Rattus norvegicus: one gene and its partner. The protein of the gene in region 1 binds, or shares a complex with, the protein of each later gene. Links are inferred from orthologs where the notes say so. Each region holds a gene or a part of one and is shown on either strand. Other genes may lie near its edges. The genes, in order: Dffb and Dffa.

Region 1 (3,808 bases):
ATGAGTTAGCAGAGGAACCCAGCACCAGGTTTCGTAGGCTGCTGACACTGGCCCATCCTTGACATGGGCTGTGGTGGCCAGAGTCAATGCTGCTTGTCTTCCTTTGCAAACTTGAGTAGTGGGCACGGCTTACCCTACTGAAGAGGACGGGAAAGCTGGGCCAGAGTCCCTCGAATGCTACTCAGCAGAGCAGAGTCTCATGCGTGAGCCCTTGTCAGCCTCTGCTGACCTCCATTTGTTCATGTACCCATTTTACACAGCTGCCCACAGAGCCCCAGGCCTGTGTCTCCCACAGGCACATAAGCCAAACATGTATGACCAGTGTGACACAGACATGGCAAGCAAGCACAATGTCATGTTACTTCAGAGCCACTGAAACTGGGGCTCCATAAGGAACAAATTTAGATCTACTCCGCAGAGGCACTGACAAGCCACAACAGAAGACTGGTCACCAAAGAGAAATTCAGGTCCAAACACAGTTGCAAGGCCTCCCCCACGTTTATCTCCTCAATGTTCTGGAGCCTGGAAGTCTGGCCCAGGCTCACAGTGGTCTGGTCTGGTCTGGTCTGGTCAGGGTCCACTTCCTGGCCTGTCCTCATATAGCAATGAGAACATCCCCATGCTCTCCCACTCACAAGAACATCTGCTCTCCCTGGATTACTCCACACCCTATGGTCTCACTTTACCTTAACTGTCTCCCAAAGGACCCATCTCCAGATGTGGTCTCACTGGGTGACAGTTGCAATGTGTGTCTGGGATAGGAGGGACCACATTTGGGTCCACAGCGGGAAGTTACCCTAAAACAGCAGCACTGAGCCAGAGCATGCAAGCAGACCCAGCATAAAGAGGGTGGGCGGCAAGAAGGTTCCAGAACACCCACGGGAATCCAAGAGACTGCAGGGGAGAATCAGAACTCTGCAGAATGGAGGACGAGTCACGGCAGGGCCGAAAGGAAAGGTCTGTCCCTGGTGTGTATTGCTGTCAGTTAAGGGGAATAAATCAAGCCATTCTCCACTGGCAGCAGCTCCATGGCAGCCACCAGGAAACAGGGATCGGTCTCCCTCACGGAGTACACAGGAGACCTAGATGCCTGTGATCCCAGACTCAGTGTGAGACAGCCCCTCTCCAGCACTCAGTGACAGCAGTGGCAAGAGGGAGGGACCCTCCTTACAGAAGTGCTAGGACCGCTCATTGGCAGCTCAGAGCAGGAGCAGGGAGATACAGGAGGCGGTGAGCAGAGGAGTGGGAGACGTAAGTAGGCAGTGACCATGATGATGTGACCACTGTGCAAGTTTGAGGTCAGGTGGGGCAACGTTGAGAAAAGAGGCCTGGAAGAGAGAGGTGACAGACAGGCCCAGGATGCACATTGAGACCAGGCACACAGGAGGTACAGCAAATGGCAAATGAGATTAATTGAAACCCACTTATTCGTGCAACAAAATATTGAACACATGCTGAACCAGCCACTATGTCTCGACACCGGGACAAGGGACCAGTACAGGATGATCTCCATTAGACAAGGCAAAAATGGCCGCTGCCACTAATGCGCTGACAAGAGATACCAGGAGCCCCTCCCAACCCCCGTGATGGTAACAGAAACCCAGAGTCCTGGCCTCTTACAGATACCAGAGCCCAGAAAGGATGAGCAGAGCAGCATGAAATGACAGACAGATAGACAGACAGATAGACAGGCCAAAGGCACATCAGAACGGGCAGCCGCCCTGATCCCGAAACACCAACCTCGGGAGCAGCTGGACAGAAGCAGCCTTGAGCATTCGTTAAAACACAAGAGGCAAATCTAGAGAGCAAAGAGAAAGCCCAAAGGGGCAGAAACTAGAAGTGAAAATAAAATCCAACACAGCTGCACCTAAGCGCAGGGCAGAGGCAGCTGCAGACAACGGGGGCGAGCAGATGCCCCTGCACCTGCAGGAGGAATCGCAGGGTCTGTGCACACTTTGGCCTGCAGCCGGCGTGCTGCAAACGGTACCTCAGACCCCAAGAGGGGGAGCCTGGTCTTCTCGGGCTCACCACAGCCGCCCTATCTGGTCGTGATAAGAGACATCAGAAATGCGCCCAAAATACAGCAACGACGTCTGTCACACCAACAGTCAGGAAAGAATTAGTGCCCAGGACAAAAGTAAACAGCAAGCGAGGAGAAGCAGCCTGAGAGCTGTGGTGGCGGAGAGCCACAGAGGCAGCTAAGTGGGTGCCCACCTCAGGCAGGAGGATGCAGGGGCACAGTGACACCGAGTGGTGGTGGGGGCCGGAACTGACTTACAATCACGAGAACAGCCAGAAAAGTCTGGAAGCACTCCGAAGGTGACCACAGTCATTAATTCCCCCAAAGAGACTGGAGGTCGGAGCCAGGGCAGTCCCTCATTTGGAGTGTGCACTGGCCCCAGGGTACCCCTGTGATGCTGGGTGGGGCCCGAGTGCATTCCTCACCAGCTCTGGGTGCAGCCAGTCCACAGATCACACTGTCGGGCATGGAACTGGGAAACTAATGCTTCATCTCAGAGCGTCTATCCCAGCCCTGGATATCGGCGAGTACTCAGAATGGCCTGAATGCCTGGCAGGCGAACAAATGTGAAGTCAGAGTCTGCGGGAAGTGAAGACGTCTGGGCTGTTCCCCTGAGTTGTGTGGATGTATACATGGTGCAGAGCCAGAGAGTGGCGGCACACACCCGGGTAAAGGTTACGGTACATGAACAGGGCGTTAATGAGGCACGTTGCAGGACAGTGTTTCCCTGGCAACAGGGACAGGGCACTGAGCACAGAGGGATCAAGGGGTGGGTCCTCAGCTACAATCACTTTTTGTAAGCTTTTAGTTATTCTGGTATCAAGAGTTGAGAAGTCGTTTGTGGGTACTTGGAACACTTTGCCTTCGTAAAGCAAGGTCAAGGGTAGTTACAGTTAAGAAAGTACCACAGCTACAGAAATGTGGTACTGCCCTACCCGGGTTCAACAGAAGAGACTGTAGCTTGCCCCGCTGTGAAACCATCCTGCTGGCCCTGCCTTCCCATACCACACCCTGGAGCTGGCTCCTCCAGTTCAAACACACAGCAACAGCCTCTTGGGGACCAAAACTTGGCCATCAAGAGCCAGGCCACCATATCCAACCACAGACGGGGACAGAGGGACAGAGGGACAGACGGAGGGCAGAGGGGCAGCTTAGCATCAGGCATGGACAGCTGGTAAGGCAGTGGCATCTCTCTAGAACCCTTCCCGTGAAGCATGTGGGCTTGAACCGCACAGGTATAATGCACCAGACCTGAGATGCTGAGCAGGCACTGGACCCCACAATGCTGGGCTGGTTCTGGTTAGAGAACTTGAGTCCTGGCGGCATACACTTACATATGGTCCAGGTTCCAGGTACTGAAGAGGATCCGGCTCTCTCTGTTGCCATAGGGGTTGATGGAGTGTTTGGAGAGACAGCTCTCCAAGTCAAAGGGGCCCTGCAGTGAGCAAGAACAGACAGGGGTTGGGAAGACAGCAGTGAGGACCCTTCCCGCTCTCTTCCCGGCCATCAAGCTTGCTAAGGAACTGGCCCCACAAGATGTTTAGTTCACCAACAGACATCTGAACAGGCGGTGTCAGCACCTGTTATCCCCAGCACAGGGAGGCAAAGGCAGGAGGATTTACATTCAGGCCAGGGAGGTGGCTCAGGAGGAAAAAGTGCCTTCCACATAAGCGTGGGAACCAGGTGTGATCCCCGCAGCCTGTGTGAAGGCCAGGTGTGGTTCATCCATGGCGTGTGCACACGAACATTACACACATATACACAAAAGCTTAAGTCTAGCCTTAACTA
Region 2 (3,731 bases), about 5.0 Mb from region 1:
AGAGCCTTTATCCCATGCCAGGCACTCATCGACATCCCCTGTGCAGAGCTGGCGCAGGAACTCTGCCAGAGTTGTGCCACTGTCCAGGGGCTGCAGAGCACGCTCCAGCAGGTGCTTGACCAGAGAGAGGAAGCACGCCAGTCCAAGCAGCTCCTGGAACTTTATCTCCAGGCCTTGGAGAAAGAGGGCAGCATCTTGTCCAACCAGAACGGTAAGACTCCCACTGCAGCTCCTCAGGAGCAGCCTTGAGGGCGGGGCCTTGTCTGCAGAGCAGCCCAGTTCCCTGAGGGTGATGTCCCTGGGCAGGATGCTTCTCTCACCCACTGAGCTTGCCTGCTTGGCTGGGGACTGCTTTCTCATAGTCGCCGCTTACTCTCTCGTCTGCATTGCAGAGTCCAAAGCTGCCCTTGGGGAAGAGCTGGATGCAGTTGACACCGGCGTCGGCGGAGAGGTGGCTTCAGAAGTGATGCTGAGAAGCCAGATCCTCGCAGCCCTGAAGGAGAAGCCGGCTCCAGAGCTGAGTCTGTCTAGTCAGGATTTAGAGGTGGGCAAGAACTAGGAACCCAGAACTGCAGAATGACTTCCTTGGAAGTAGAGTTTGGAGGTGCAGACGCACGTATGTGGATTCCCTTCCCCTCGCTGACTCACAGCTGCCAGTTTGCCTTTAAACACAGCCAAAGCATTTGCAAACATCTCACTTAATGTAAAGTCCAACTGGCCTTTTCCAGGGGGAAAGAGGCAGGGTCTCTCCGTGTAGCCCTAGCTGTCCTGGAACTTGCTCTGTAGACCAGGCTGGCCTTGAGATCTGCCCGCCTCTGCCTCCCGAGTGCTGGGATTAAAGGTCTGTGCCACCAACGATCAGCTCCAAATGACCTTTAAAAGAAAAGGGATGCGTATCCTCGGGTCATCAAACATTAGTCCTTTGTTCAAATTGGGAGGAACTGCGGGCCGAAGCTTCTGAGGTGACTTCAAGGTAAAAGAGTCAAAGACCCATGAGTCTGTACTTAAGGCTGTGGCTGAAGATCAGCACTGGGCCAACAGTCACAAGGCACACCCTGTACAGAGTACCAAGTACCTCCCGGCCCTAGACAGAAGGGAAGGGAATTAGATTAACTTGAGCTTAATTCAGTTCCTGTTGTGCTTGGGGGACTTTAAATCGATGTGAGTGTCATGAAAGGCACATCATAGCCAGGTGGTGGTGCACGCAGCTTTAGTCCCAGCACTCAGGAGGCAGGGCAGGCTGATCTCTGAGTTTGAGGCCAGCCTGGTCCACAGAATGAGTTCCAGGACAGCCAGGGCTACACAGAGAAACCCAGTATTGAAAAAAAAACCAAAGGAAAGAGAGGAGTGGGAAGGCAGGCAGGCAGGCACATCCTAGTGCATCCCAGGCCGGCCCGGGCCGCAGTCCGGCCCCGTCTCTAAAAGAGGAGAAAGCAGCCCAGAGAGGGGCGCAGAGCTGCCGTCTCAGTGGTTCTTCTTCTTGCTGCAGTCGGTCTCCAAGGAGGACCCCAAAGCCCTGGCTGTCGCTCTGAGCTGGGACATAAAGAAGGCAGAGACAGTCCAGCAGGCCTGTACCACGGAGCTCGCCCTGCGCCTGCAGCAAGTGCAGAGCTTGCACTCACTCAGGAATCTTTCTGCAAAGAGGAAGCCACTGCCTGGGGACCCGCAGAGTCCCAAACGGGCCAAAGTGTGAGACTTCTCATAGCCAAACCGGACAAGCTTTGCAGAGGAGAACCTCGGTTCTGAGGTCCGTAAACACCTGTCTGTGACCTTGTGACCTCGTGACCTCGTTCCCACCCGCACTCCCTCCACCTCCCGCCCTGCGGTGAGCTCTCCTCGCTCCAGAAAAGCTGTTCCCTGTCTGTGCATACCCCTCTACCTCCTTTCAATGTCCTGGGTTTTCGTTCTGTTTTCTTACCTGTGTGGGTGTGTTGCCTGCACGTATATCTGTATCCCTCATGCCCATGAAGGCCAGAAGAGAGTGTCGGGTCCCTTGGAGCTGGAGTAACAGACAGCTCTCAGCAGCCGTGTGGGTGCTGGGAATCGACTCTGGGTCCTCTGGAAGTGGGGCCGGTGCTCTTAGCCCCTGAGCCATCTCCAGCTCCCAGAATGCACTTATCGTGTGCTGGCCTTAGGTTAAGTGAAAGTACCCGTCTAGGGCAATGAAAACCTGTCATACTTTGGACTCGATGTCCTTACTCTACAACTTGAACAATAGAGCGTTAGACACAGTGGTAGAAAAAAGGCACCCAACAGCAGCAGTGGTGGCCATGAACTTCCTTCTCAAGTTAATGAATGCAGTTGCTGTCCGCTTAAAGGCACATACTGAGTCTGCAGACCCCAGGGACATGGAGTCTAAGCCCCCATTTCTAATATCTGACTCAGTGTTGTGAAGCTGTTACCGCTGTGAGACTCCAGTCCATTTTCTAATATGTTTTGCCAGCAGGGGGTAGAAAGGATCATTGAGTCCCATGCTCTGCGACTCAGGTTTCTCTCTGCAGATCAGGTCACTTCCAGCTTTTCTCTGCTGTTTCTGCTCAGAGTTCTACACCTTCTGCAATCGACAGTGCTGTCTGCCTTCAGGGAACGGACACCTAGTTACGGGTCATCTGACTTTCATGCGTGCTGGGAAGAAGAAGAGGGTCTCTAGCTCTCGTCTTTTTTTTTCGTGTGTGTGTGTGTGTGTGTGTGTGTGTGTGTGTGTGTGTGTGTGTGCGTGTGTTTTCTGGGTACTGGGAATTGAACTAAGATTTTATTCATAGACACTGAGCTCGTGCCCCCTAATGAACCACACCCCAGCCTCACGTTGACAAAGAAATATAGCATTAAGTCTTGGGGTAAAGGTGGGGTGCACGAAGCAAATAAAAGTAATTGTGTCCTTGCCTACAGGGGGGGCCTGGTGCAACTTTCAGATCTTGTAGTGCCTGACAGCACCAGTTCCAAATGTTGGCATCAAAGCTCTTCCCACATCTTTGTGGTGCCTCTCAGTCCCTGAATAAAAGCCATTGCTGATCATCCATCACCCGCCATTGTTTGTTCAGAAACACTAATCCCTTCCGAGTCACAGTACACAGACACAAAGAGGACCCTTTACAGTAAAATGGTGTGTATGTTGCACTGTATGTGACCAGGCGTCAAAGCTGCCAGGTGCTTCTGTCAGCATCAGATCACCCCGGATTTGACACAGGCAAGCTGACAGACAGTTGTCAGACAGCAGGGCAGCACTGTCCCAGCAAAGAGGTCACCCAAACGATGAAGTTCTGAACAGGATATCACCTGCCCTTGGGTTACATCTTAAATGTGTGTTCCTAGAAATCCAGGCTACACTAAAACTAAAAATAACTTAAAGTAATCCTGGAACTTGGGAGGCAGGAGGATCTCTGTGAGTCTGAGGCCACACTTACCTACATAGTGAACTACAGGTCAGCCAAGGTTACAAAGTGGAACACCCTGGCTTAAAAGAAGAAGAAAAATTAAAATTAAAAATTAAAAGAAGAAGAATTAAGGTTTCAAGCTAAAATAATTCTGGGAATTACATTCATTCTCTTTGTAGTGAAAACACACATTCCACAGGACTTATGTGGAGGTCAAAGGGCAATTTGTAGGAATTGGTTTTCCCTTCCACACATGGGCCCTAAGGATCGAATTTGGTTATTCAGGCTTGGAGGTGGGCACCTCTACCTGCTGGGTCATGATGCTGGACCCCGAACAGATTTCCATCCATACGGATG

The links.
Region 2: the proteins of Dffb (region 1) and Dffa are in contact, whole or in part, in an NMR structure (PDB 1F2R), measured with the Mus musculus proteins. The link is inferred for Rattus norvegicus from reciprocal best matches to the Homo sapiens genes DFFB and DFFA. Residues at the interface, in NP_031885.3 of Mus musculus: Cys10, Lys12, Arg14, Ala19, Cys20, Lys21, Phe22, Gly23, Val24, Ala25, Ala26, Arg39; in NP_001020467.1 of Mus musculus: Asp66, Thr68, Ile69, Val70, Asp71, Asp72, Asp74, Tyr75, Trp94, Tyr96, Asp100.

What each region holds. Positions count from the first base shown.
Region 1 is NC_086023.1:169,806,689-169,810,496, forward strand, and holds part of Dffb (DNA fragmentation factor subunit beta), read right to left. Parts: intron 3,456-3,808; coding exon 3,355-3,455; exon of another isoform or gene 1-3,354. UniProt on the Homo sapiens protein: Nuclease that induces DNA fragmentation and chromatin condensation during apoptosis. Degrades naked DNA and induces apoptotic morphology.
Region 2 is NC_086023.1:164,833,708-164,837,438, forward strand, and holds the end of Dffa (DNA fragmentation factor subunit alpha), read left to right. Parts: intron 1-21; coding exon 22-211; intron 212-392; coding exon 393-544; coding exon of another isoform or gene 545-559; exon of another isoform or gene 560-1,489; coding exon 1,490-1,693; 3' UTR 1,694-3,022; downstream 3,023-3,731. UniProt on the Homo sapiens protein: Inhibitor of the caspase-activated DNase (DFF40).